Linked DNA regions of Nothobranchius furzeri. The protein of the gene in region 3 interacts with the protein of the main gene of each other region in a pairwise test. Links are inferred from orthologs where the notes say so. Each region holds a gene or a part of one and is shown on either strand. Other genes may lie near its edges. The genes, in order: get4, gpx7 and get3.

Region 1 (4,211 bases), on a different chromosome or scaffold from region 3:
ATGGAAACAGAGCAGCAGCGAGAGAATACAAGATTAACGAGTCGATGGTCTGCAAGTGGAGAAAGTTGGAAGACCAGCTGCTGCAGGTCAGTCAGTCAGTCAGTCATGCCGTTACCAGAGTTTAAATCTTCATTCTTGCTGCTAAAAGCACCCGTGCATTAAACTGGGCCATTTATGTTACTTTAATAATGAGAAATTTATTTTTTAGTATAGATAATGAGTGGAGTAACGTTTGACTTTGATCTAATTGCCCAATTTGCCTTAATTGTGCCGACCGGGACGCTTGTTTGCTTTGCTGGGTGCGTGTTTTGATCCAGTGAGCCTAATGTGCGGACCAAACCTTTAACTAGGACGCTGATTGGCTGTGCGCCGTATAATCAGGTGAGCCTTATGGTGCGGAAAATACGGCAGTTACTTTTTAAATGAATGAATCAGTAAAGTAACTACGTTACTTTTGGAAGGAGTAATCAGTAGTCAGAAATCAGATTACTATTTCAAGGTAACTATGGAAACACTGCTGACAGAGGCGTCAGGCTGATGAGCACAGGTACCACCGGTCTCTCTGAATCCCACCAGCAGGCAAGGTGAGTTAAGTGTCTAGCCCAAGGACACAACAGCAGAATTCTCTGTCCAGAGCCAGGATCGAACCTGCAACTGTCTGATTACCAGACAAGTCGCTCTACCTCCTGAGCTGCTGCTGCCATATGAGGCTGTTCCTCTCCACTTGCAGGATTAAAGCCATAAAAAACACACTATTGCACTTCTGGAACAATGCAGGGAGTAAACAAACCATTAGGTAACTTCTTTTGATGTAATCTACATAGATATGAAATCGCATTGCTGCAGTAGTCTTATTTTGAGAATTACCAGGGGTTTTACATTGAAACCGTGTGCGACTTCCTGTCTAGCCCTATGCTAACTGTGTAAATTGTTGTGTCCCAGATGCGGCTTGCTGCAAAAATAGAACCCATCCTATCTTTAGTGGCATGGCCAGCTGCTTCTGGGACGCGCTTGAAAATTTCCGCATAGTGGCTGGTTTGAAACCCCCCCATAGATTTTAATGTCTTCTCATTTGAAGCAGCGACAGTCCGTGCCACTGATGCTTCCAGTGTGAAGTATGGGTGAGTTTTCAGAGGAGGCAGGTGTATGTTAATTGGATCACATAACGATACAAGACCAAGCTTGTCTTGGCAAAACAATTTAACCTTTTTGTTGTTGGTTTCATTATTTTAGTGATTTCTTAAATCGAAGTTCAAATAAAAATGTGATAAATTGTACAGCTCTATTGTCACATAATGAAAAGAAAGCAGATCAAAATCAACACAAAAGACTCAGTAAGAGTTATTTTTAGACACAATGAAAGCTCGAAACCCACCTAACATTTCATCCTCAACTTTAGTATCAGACTTCTCCAAAACCTCCAACACCAGCATGGAAAGATCTGCTGCGCTGTTTTGCTGTAAAGTAAACCACAATGAACTCATGTTTGGGGCAGCATTATTGTCACAGAACGTACTGTAATCGGTAAACTTAACCCAAGCCACAAGTCAGGCTGTACAGTTAAAGTTATGGTTAATTCAGCAGGCAAAGATCAAAACTGTAAACCTGACAGCTGTTGTGTACATGCTAATTTCTAATGAAATGCAATTTTAAACATGAAATCTGCGGATGTTCTAGTCAAAAACGTGGGTGTGGTCTGTACCTGGTTGTAGCTGAAGAACAGCAAAGCACCGTTGTACATCAGCTCCCTCGCCTCTGCATGTTTTCCTTGTGACATATACCTGATGGAAGGCAAAGGGGAACGGAGTCGTGCACTTAAAGACAATCTCCTAAATCTCCCTAAGGCCAAATGACCATATACATCTGATAAAGTAAACGATAGGATTGTGACAATCAAGAAACGGACGGAATTAACTGAAAGAACATACATTTGAGGGAAATTGGCTTTAAACTGGGAGCTTTCTCGACAGCTTAGTACGTTTTTCAAGAGGGAGTAAGCAGTTAAGTCAGACCACAAAACTAGTATTCTACCATAGTAGGGTGGGATATGACATAGTTTATGGAATATGATATAGAAGTGAAATGCATCAAATCAGTCTGGTATAGCTCAAAATAAAACAAACTGTTTAGAAACACGTCGTTATTTCGTATTTTACTGCGAGGAGATAGCAGAAGGCTGCTTCCCACCTAGCGAAATGCTAACGCAAATGAACATGAATGTACTCGTTCACATAACTGCATTGTAAACCAACGAAAACAGTTGGTCGCTATTTTCAGTTTGTTTTCAGTATACATTTCATGATTAATACAGCCAAAAATAAGTTATCGTTGTCACATTTTACTCACTCTGCTAACAAAAAATTTGCTATCATCAGCTCGGTACTAGCGGTATCATTACGGTAAGCCAATAGCAATTGTTCTTCTAAAGATAGAAAGGATCACTGTCCAATCAAACACAAGAACCATCAAGGGAAGGCGGGACACAGAGCGAATACAACCAATCACGTACAAGCACCAGTCAAAGGTTTGACAGCGGAATGATCTGGAACAGGCCGGCCTGACCGTAACTACAAAAGCACATTAGAACGAACATATTGTGAAGTCTCACCTGAAAAATAAAGTTCTATACATTTGGTGGGCTTCATAGTAATCTCCCTTTTCTACGCTTGCTCGAAGCTTCCCTTCGACCCTCTGAACGCCTCCTCGGTTTCTAGCACTGGAGCACCTCAGGGACTCGGGCTCCGCCATAGCGATGCCTTTAGCAGCAGCAGCGACTAGCGAGAAGGTCCTGGCTGCGGCTCGTAGCAAGGGGCGGGGACGGGGCATACGGAGCAACTATAACATCGATGACTCTGACGACTTAGCCTTGTTCTTGTAGAGAGGCACTAAACTGAGAGGCACTATATTAAAAAAAATGTTTGTTCTTCGTATTACTTTTTTTTTAAATTGGACTGACTCTTCACAAAACAGCACACCTGGATGAACTGGGTCAATCATCACTGCGCCGCCTACAGGTTGTGCAGAACAGCGCAGCCAGGTTACTGACTGGGACCAGGAAACGGGACCACATCAATCCGGTTTTGCCCTTCCTGCACTGGCTTCCGGTCTGTTATCGTTCACACTTTAAACTCCTCGTCTTTGTTTACAATTTCTTCCAGGGTAGTGCTCCCCCCTATCTGGCCACGCTCCTGAACAGACATTCCCCATCACGCACACTGCGCTCCTCTGACCAAGGCCTGCTCGCTGTCCCTCGTTCTAGGTGTCGTACTCGTGGGGACCGGGCTTTCTCAGTCATAGCCCCGTCACTCTGGAGCCAGTTGCCACCCTCAGTCAGGCTATCCCCATCTCTGCCAGCCTTTAAGAGTCGCCTAAAAACCCACCTCCTCCGCTTCGCGTTCCCTGAATATGTTTGAGTTAGGCCTTCATTTATGTTAATTTTAATTCCCTGCTTTCATTGGTCTCTTTATCTCTTGTTTTACCCATTTGTTTTCTACTTTAATGTTTTTACCTGTTTTTCTCATGTACCGTGTTCAGCACCTTGGGCTTCGCGACAGGGTCACGAAAGGCGCTTTATAAATAAAGCTTGGATTTGGTTTGATTGATACGAGATACGTTGCTTGATTTCCTCTCGGAAGAGGTTTCTTTTGTCCGAATGCAGCAGAAAGGCATCTTGGTGCATGTAGGTAGAGGAGGTATCCAGAACTAGGAGAAGGATTAGAAGACTGCTTTCCTGGTTGACACCAAGGTCAATGATCTCATTATCACCGGATTCAGCATCAAACTCAGATCATACGCCGTGAACGGGGAAGAGTCCCATGACCTGGATGTCAGCTCCATAAAGCAACAGATGGCTGATTTTTTTTACAGACCAAGGGAACTGAGTTGGACTTTGGGAATATTGAGAGTTGCCACACTCTGTCCAGAAGAAACAGCAGAGAAAAAACAGCTGTCATCATGAAGGTTTGACATAATTAACCATGATTAAACCAGCATGACATCAGGGGGAAATCACTTGACTGGTTTAAAAGTGAAGCATCCATCCATCCATTTTCAGCTGCTTATCCGGAGTCGGGTCGCGGGGGCAACAGCCTAAGCCGAGACGCCCAGACTTCCCTCTCCCCAGCTACTTGGACCAGCTCTTCCGGGGGAATCCCAAGACGTTCCCTGGTTAGCCGAGAAACGAGGGCCCAATCTCAATACTCACACTGCGC
Region 2 (4,438 bases), on a different chromosome or scaffold from region 3:
TAACCAGAAGCCTGAGCCCGGTCGTAAACAAACTGACAACCAAATACTACATAACACCGACTCATTAAAACAAAGACACGCGACGTTTACAGCAGAGCCGAACTCAGGACTTACTTGTGCACTCAGGATTAATGTTTGGTTGCTTCCATAGTTCCGCTTTACATGTTATCTTAGATCCCACGGCCCTGGCCAAAACAGCAGCCCCGCTGCATTGTGGGAGTGTCCGTGACGTAGGCAGGAGGAGTTTTTGATGCATGACCATAACAAGTCAGAAACTTTACGTTGTTTTTGTCAGCTGCAGAAATCCAAAAGGGTTCAAATGAAGGCCACTGGACTTCTGGTTTCTTGAAGACGTTTCACATCTCATCCTGTAGTGGTGGCTCCTTTGTTTGTCAACTCACTTCATATTTTCCTGCTTTAAAAGCCACTGCTGCGCTGTGGCAACGTTTCGTTCGCTCAATGTCCAAACTTGAAAGCTGCGTTTTCTTCAAGGTTTATTTTCCAGGTCGGCAAGCAATAAAACACAGATCCTGTTTTCCATTGTTTCCTGCTGCTTCTCCTGCTCTGGTAAAAACACACACGCCCACCCCAGTGCATGCTGGTGATATAGCCGAGAACAGCCAGCCTGCCGAGAATTGCATCCCCTGCCGCGGGAGCGCGCATTGTTGTAAACTCGCTGATAATGATGAGGAAACAGCTTCAAATATCAGCAACGCGACGGCTATAAGATACACTCGTACTATTACCATGTTACTTATGCATGTGCATCCTGAAAACTTAATATGTTGTCACAGTTGAATGTATACACACATATACATATATATGTATATACATATGTATGTATGTATGTATATGTATATATACACACACATACATATACATATATAAATGTGTGTGTATATATATATATGTATGTATATATATATGTGTGTGTGTGTGTGTATACACATATGCATTTATATACATGTATATGTGTGTGTATATATATATATATATATATATATATATATATATATATATATATACACACATAATAAATATAAATATATATATTAGTGTGTGTGTGTGTGTGTGTGTGTGTGTGTGTGTGTGGACCGGCCAGACTGAGCTCCCAGCTGCAGAGTTTTGTGTGTAGGAAGGGGCGGGCGCTCTATGTGACTGGCCAGTCACAGAGCGTGAAGACAGTCAGTTACCCAATGAGGATTTTCCTTCAGCACGATTACAGATATTTACGAGTTTTACTCGTTTCATGCTCGTATTCGTCAAAAATGCTTTATCCGTATCGGGTACTCGTCTGAAACAAGTATCCGGCTCATCCCTAACGGTTAGCTTATCAATCCTCTGCATTGATGAAAAGGCTCGGACCACAGAATTTACTACCAGGCAGATCCAGAGGTGCTAGCTACAAGAATAAAAAGGCAGAAGTATTTGACTCATTCATCAAAAGTCTGAACGTGCAAAATAATCCTCACCAAGTCATGCTACACACAAGCAGAAGTAACAATCAATGATCATGGCATGCTTTTATTTAACCGTGCGCTCGGTTCCCCTTTGAAAGCTTTTACTTTGTAAGCCCCGGCCGCAGCCGGAAGTGCCGCTCCAGCTGCGCCACTTGACCTCCTGGGCGACTCCTGTTGAGTTGGCGCTTTTTGCTGCGGAAGATGCTTCACGCGCTCCTCTCGGTGTTGCTGACAGTCGTCAGCCTCACAGAAAGCAAACAGAAAGACTTTTATAGTTTTAAAGTGGTGAACAGCAGAGGCAAGCTCGTGTCTCTGGAGAAGTACCGAGGTTCGGTGAGTCCGGCTCAGAAGCGCTCATCCTGGATGTTGCATGATGAGAACGTATCTCCCACTAACCATGCTGTCTGCAGATGTAACTAACTGTGTGTGTGCGTGCGTGTGCGTGTGCGTGTGCGTGTGTGTGTGTGTGTGTGTGTGTGTGTGTGTGTGTGTGTGTGTGTGTGTGTGTGTGTGTGTGTGTGTGTGTGTGTGACGCGAGCCTCCTGGGGGGACCCGGCGCCCCGGCCGCAGCCTACGTGGCAGCAGGCCTGCAGCTGCTGCACGCGCTCCGTTACCAGGTAGCGACCGGTACTCGCACCGCTGATGGATCACGTTTCAGATTCAGGTTTCAATCTGAACGCAAAAAGTCAGGAGAAGAAAAACAAACTTCTTGATCAACATATGAGGCACCATGTGTACAGCGAAATCCCATTTTTCTGCCAGCAGATATAAAAATAAATACTAAAGGTAAAGCTGAATATTAGTTATCCACATTTAGACACAATATCTTAAAATACACTATTTTATTTGGTCAACAGTGTAAATATTTAGAGTAACATCCGGCCACAAAATCAGAATACTGTGACAAAGTTGATTTATTTCAGTAATTCCATTCAAAAGCTGAAACTTGTATATTTCAAATGTATAACGAACAGCTACTGAAAATCCCAAAGACCCTGGTTATTCGTTCAGTCAGTGTCCCTCACGTAGGGCTTTATTTCAAGACCATAAATAAACAATGTAACTGTGCTGCCCTTTGTTTGTCGAACTAAAGCATGCGGTGGTGTTAGCATGGACTGGGAGCTTCGTATGTCCGACCTCAATAGAAATGCAAAAAATTCCAACTGTTTTTTTGCTTACTTGAAAAATGATCTTGATGAATTAAAGTTTTAATTGTTTTTTGGAGCTGATATTACAGCAGGACTTTACAGGTTCTGCTTTTATTGACCGTTTGCACCTACCTGGTATGTCACCTGATCACATGGGTCCGCGTCCGCGGTATGGCAACAGTGAATCACAGGGTTATTGAACAGAGGGTGAAAGTAGAGAACGGAGGAGGTCCTGCCTCAAGGGAAAGAGTTTATCTCGGGGTCTTGTTCACGAGTGAGATGGGTATGCGGATTGGTGCTGCGTCTACAGTGAGTCCAGCGGAGGTTGTATCGATCTGTCGTGGTGAAGAGAGTGCTGTTTGTGACGGAAGGCGAAGCTCTCCATTTACCAGTTGATCTAAGTTCCTACCCTCGCTTATGGACACGAGCTTTCGGTAGTGACCAAAAGAACAAGGTTGCAGATACAAGCAGCCAAAATGAGTTTTCTCCAGAGGGTGGCTGGGGTCTCCCTTAGAGATAGGGTGAGAATCTCGTTTATCTGGGAGGGGCTTGGAGTAGACCCGCTGCTCCTTCACGTCAAGAGGAACCAGTGAAGGTGGCTCGGGCATGTGGTCAGGGTGCCTCCTAGATACCACCCTGGTGAGGTTTTCTGGGTATGTCCAACTGGAAGTAGACCTAAAAGAAGACCCAGGACACGCTGGAGGGACTATGTCTCTCGGATGGCCTGGGAACGCCCTGGGATTCCCCCGGAGGAGCTGGCCCAAGTGGCTGGGGAGAGGGAAGTCTGGTCCTCGCTGCTTAGGCTGTTGCCCCCGCGACCCGGCACTGGATAAGTGGCCGAGAATGGATGGATGGATTTATAACATTGTTATAAACAGTGTTTCACTTAACACCAGAACTGATTATAAAGTCTGAACCACTACCAGTTTTTGCCACTGACAGGGTCACCGGGACCAGCTGGCGAAGCTCTTCATGCTAAATGCATGTTGTACACACACGTAATCCTACATGTAAGCAGTATTATTACTATCTTGCATTTGACATAAGAAGCCTAAGTTTGCCCCCTACAGTCGGATCACAGGCTATGATAACGAGGCTATGAAAGTTATTTTCTGGTCCGCGTTGCTTTATGCCCTGAATCCCACATATGTTGTACTTCAATTTAAATAAATAATCATTTTGTGTGTTTCGACTATGTCATGAGATTGTTTTAGTTTGTAAAAATGAGTAAATAAAACGACTACAAATCAGAAGTCGTGACCACAGAATCTCTATTGCCTCCGTGTAGCCGCTACTTATCGCGTGGTTAGATTTATCGGGGTTTTCGTAACGTTTAACACTCCTGGAGGAATTCGAAGCTCGCTTAACTCACAGCCATTTCTCTTTCTACCGGTTTTCTTGTCTTCTCCGTGTCCGATTTGATGGCCTCTATTTGGTGAGATGAACATTTGCAGTCCGAAACCTAAAACCTAAAATAACCGTTGCCCCCTGTTGAAAAGAATTGCTTTCTTGGCATCAAAATGTGATTTAAAAATAAAATGGCGCATATCACACGGGATCAGAAAATAACTTTTCTCTCCTCTGAGACTCGCGTTTATAGTTTAGACAGTTGGTAACCCGTGGTCCAGAAGTAGATGGGTATGACTCTGGCTGCCTACAGTGGACAGAAATACACGTCGTCCATTGTGGAATACAGGATTATCAATACTAAATGAGTAGTACACACACGTCACATTTATCCTCTCAGCTCCATCACAGTCGCGTCCCATCTCACACGAATGTTAATCCTTGCCTGCCAGACTCCTCCTCTGTTTAATTCTTTTCCCGTTT
Region 3 (3,647 bases):
CAAAGAGTTATTGTATATTACAATGGCTGTTGGCAGGAAGGAGCTCCAGTAGCGGTCAGTGTTGCAGCCAAACTGAAGAAGCCTCTGACTGAAGACACTCTTCCGTTGTCGGACAGTCTTGTGCAGCCGTCCTACTGCATGCCCACTCGACCCCATTCCGACTAAGCTGCTCCAAGCTATTGCTCCTACAGTAGCCGCATTAGTCACACATGTGATCAACGCATCACTGACATCCGGTACATTTCCCACCTCTCTCAAGCATGCTCAGGTTAAACCGCTGCTAAAAAAACAAAACATCTCTTCCTCCAAATCATGTGGAGAACTACCGACCAACCCTCTTTTCCTCCCTAATTCTGTCCAAAATCATTGAAAGGGTGGCTTTCAATCAGATCACAGAATACCTCTCTCAAAACTGTCTGCTTGACCCTTACCAATCTGGGTTCAAAAAGGGCCACTCCACTGAAACTGCTCTGTTAGCAGTGACGGAATCCTTAAAAGAAGCTAGAGCGACTGCCAAATCCTCAGTGCTTATCCTGCTCGACTTATCGGCTGCATTTGACACTGTCAACCATGGCTTCCTTTTGTCCACACTCTCTAGCATGGGCATCACAGAGAAAGCACACGCCTGGTTTGAATCATACATCACAGGACAATCATTCAGTGTATCTTGGCTTGGACAATCCTCTACCGTGCACCATCTTGCCACGGGAGTCCCCCAGGGCTCTGTACTAGGACCTCTTCTCTTTGCCATATACACCACCTCACTGGGTGAGATAATTCAATCACATGGCTTCTCCTTCCACTGCTATGCAGACGACACCCAGCTCTATCTGTCATTTCCACCGGAAGACCACACTGTCCCTGCACGAATATCAAACTGTCTCTCTGACATATCAAAATGGATGAAATCCCACCATCTCCAACTCAACCTCTCTAAAACTGAATTAATTGTCATCCCAGCAAAACCATCCATACAGCACAATATCTCAATCCAAAATGACTTCCTATATCTGGCTCCTTCAAAGGCAGTTCGAAATCTGGGTGTTGTGATCGATGAACACCTGACCTTTAAAGATCATGTTACCTCTGTTGCTCGTTCATGCCGCTTTGAGCTGTATAACATACGAAAGATCAGACCACACCTAACACAACATGCCACCCAGCTCCTGGTGCAATCTACTGTCATCTCCCGCCTCGATTACTGCAATGCCCTTCTAACTGGTCTTCCAGGCTGTACTGCGAGACCTCTTCAAATGGTCCAGAACTCAGTGTGGTCTTCAATCAGCCAAAAAGAGCAAACGTCACCCCTCTGTTCATTGAGCTCCACTGGCTACCGCTAGCAGCACGCATAAAATTCAAATTGCTAACATTAGCATACAAAGTCCGAGATGGTACGGCTCCCATCTACCTGAATCCTCTTGCAAAGGCTTACGTCTTGGCTCGGCCCTCCGGTCATCACAGGATCGTCGGCTAGCAGTGCCTACACCACGTTCAGGACAATCCAGACTCTTCTCATGCATCGTTCCACAAATGTGGAACGACCTACCAAGCACTACCAGAACAGCGGCTTCCTTTTCAATTTTCAAGAAACTCCTGAAGACCCTGCTCTTCAGAGAGCATCTTCTAAACTAGCACCCTCCCTGCACCCTGCACCCCCCTCTCTACTGTCCACTCTTTGTTCACTCTTCTCCATGATTCATCATGCTGCCTCACTGCCACCTACGACTGACTGGAAATTGTTTGTTGTTGTTGCTGTTGTTAACCTCAAGGGCAACATGCCGATTATCACTTGTAAGTCGCTTAGGACAAAAGCGTCTGCTAAATACATAAAGATAAACATGGAATGCTCAGGGTTGTCCATAATTTTCTTGATTCTCTGGAGAATCCTTCTTTGCATTATCTCCTCCAGTGGTTCCACAGTCGTCCCCAGAACAGAACCAGCCTTTGTTATTAAGCTGTTGAGCCATTTCAGGTCCCTGCTTCTGATGCTCTGTTGCTATTGGATTTGTAAGTAATAATATTTTTTTCCCAATAGTTACTTTGTGTTTTATTTTAGTATTAGTTGGCTCATGCAAGTGTTAGCTCGTTGTTAGCGCTAGCTACAGCAGGGTTGTTTACGACAGCTGCAAAACCACTTTCAACCAGTAGGGTGGAGGAGCAGGAAACTGTTTAGTGTTGCTTTAAATACACGATTTTTTAAAACTCTTACAGGATCTTTGAACTGCTCACTGACGGAGCGAATGACCGGGAGGGTTTCCTCGAGCTTGGAGGCCAGCTGGTCTGCGTTCATGTCGCCCAGACCGAGCATGTTACACATCTAAACAACACAACACACAGACAACTCCGTTTAAACGTTGTACACATCATCTAAACACAGCTGTACACATCATCTAAACACAGCTATTCAAACTGCTGGTCCCATCACCTGAGAGATGAAGGGGCTGATCTGATTCTTTATCTTCATCAGGCGACCCAGACCTCGCTCCACGATGGTGGGGAAGTTGAGCAGCCTCAGCGTGTGGCCGGTGGGGGCCGTGTCGAACACCACCACAGAAAAGTTCATTCCCTTTACTAACCTGATGCACAGGCAGGATAAAGAAATCACGTCAACACTGATTCTAAACACTTGAAAAAACTGCTCGATATGACTGAGTGTTTTCACCTCATGACCTCTGCATAGCTCATGGCTTCATCGATACCGGGGAAAGCACTCATGGCCTCCTGCATCATCTTCTTGCCCATGCTGAGCATGTTGTCCTCCTCAAAGAACTCATCAGGCAGCTCTGCGACACCCAGGCTCGGGTCAATCTCCTGCAATAAGGCACGACAGGAAACAGGTGAGCAAAACACACAAACCGTCTGACGATTTGTTCCCACCCTCCAGCGATTCAGCATTTCTATCGCTGCTTTATCAAACAGTTCTTGGGAGACTCACAGATCTCTTAACACTGACACAAGATAAATAAACCTCTTTATTTGGCCTCCTTGCTCTTCTTGTTTGAGTGTGTAAAAATATTTTTGTTCTTTTAAACATGTTAAGGGATTTTTAGGCATTGCATTGCTTACCATAGCAAAGAGGTTGTCATATCCTTTGACTTTAGTAGGCACCTTAGAGAACTTCTGGTCAAAGGCATCGGAGATGTTGTGGGCGGGATCGGTGGAGATGATCAGGACGCTCTCCCTGACAGCAGCCAGCTGCACCGCTAAGCTACAGCTATGGAAAACATCAAAATTAAACACTCAAAAAAAAAACTCCTTATGTCAGCAACCCAGTTTGTACTCAACGGTTTTCCAGCACTGCAAAAATGTTTGCGTCAGCTCTCTGTGTAATTTTCTTTCAATGAGCTAATTTCTGTTGTAAACCCACAATACTGGGCAACGTGTCCTCAGGCTGGGTTTCCTTTGGAAATTATTTGGCGCTTTAGTGCATTTTAGTTAAAATTTTAATTTTCTGCCTAAAACTGTCAGTGTTGTGTTGTCGTCAGGTTAAAACTGCACTGTATTTGAATTCAAATCTGCCATCGCTATTGGCTAAGAGGTACCCTATGATGTTAGCTGGTACATTATGATGTCACAATGCCGTGAGCGCGTGTGTGCGCGCAAGCGCCTTCTCGGTCTGCTGGGCAACAGCATTTGTGGCATTTTTC

The links.
Region 1: the proteins of get3 (region 3) and get4 interact in binary tests that used the Homo sapiens proteins (3 or more experiments, as listed by UniProt). The link is inferred for Nothobranchius furzeri from reciprocal best matches to the Homo sapiens genes GET3 and GET4.
Region 2: the proteins of get3 (region 3) and gpx7 interact in binary tests that used the Homo sapiens proteins (3 or more experiments, as listed by UniProt). The two-hybrid records come from large-scale screens. The link is inferred for Nothobranchius furzeri from reciprocal best matches to the Homo sapiens genes GET3 and GPX7.

The regions. Positions count from the first base shown.
Region 1 is NC_091756.1:28,102,664-28,106,874, reverse strand, and holds the start of get4 (Golgi to ER traffic protein 4 homolog), read right to left. Parts: upstream 2,859-4,211; 5' UTR 2,827-2,858; coding exon 2,609-2,826; intron 2,597-2,608; exon of another isoform or gene 2,373-2,596; coding exon of another isoform or gene 2,347-2,372; intron 1,782-2,346; coding exon 1,703-1,781; intron 1,458-1,702; coding exon 1,376-1,457; intron 1-1,375. UniProt on the Homo sapiens protein: As part of a cytosolic protein quality control complex, the BAG6/BAT3 complex, maintains misfolded and hydrophobic patches-containing proteins in a soluble state and participates in their proper delivery to the endoplasmic reticulum or alternatively can promote their sorting to the proteasome where they undergo degradation.
Region 2 is NC_091748.1:78,670,864-78,675,301, forward strand, and holds the start of gpx7 (glutathione peroxidase 7), read left to right. Parts: upstream 1-1,593; 5' UTR 1,594-1,661; coding exon 1,662-1,793; intron 1,794-4,438. UniProt on the Homo sapiens protein: It protects esophageal epithelia from hydrogen peroxide-induced oxidative stress. It suppresses acidic bile acid-induced reactive oxygen species (ROS) and protects against oxidative DNA damage and double-strand breaks.
Region 3 is NC_091746.1:25,384,682-25,388,328, forward strand, and holds part of get3 (ATPase GET3), read right to left. Parts: intron 3,215-3,647; coding exon 3,067-3,214; intron 2,812-3,066; coding exon 2,663-2,811; intron 2,577-2,662; coding exon 2,426-2,576; intron 2,318-2,425; coding exon 2,210-2,317; intron 1-2,209.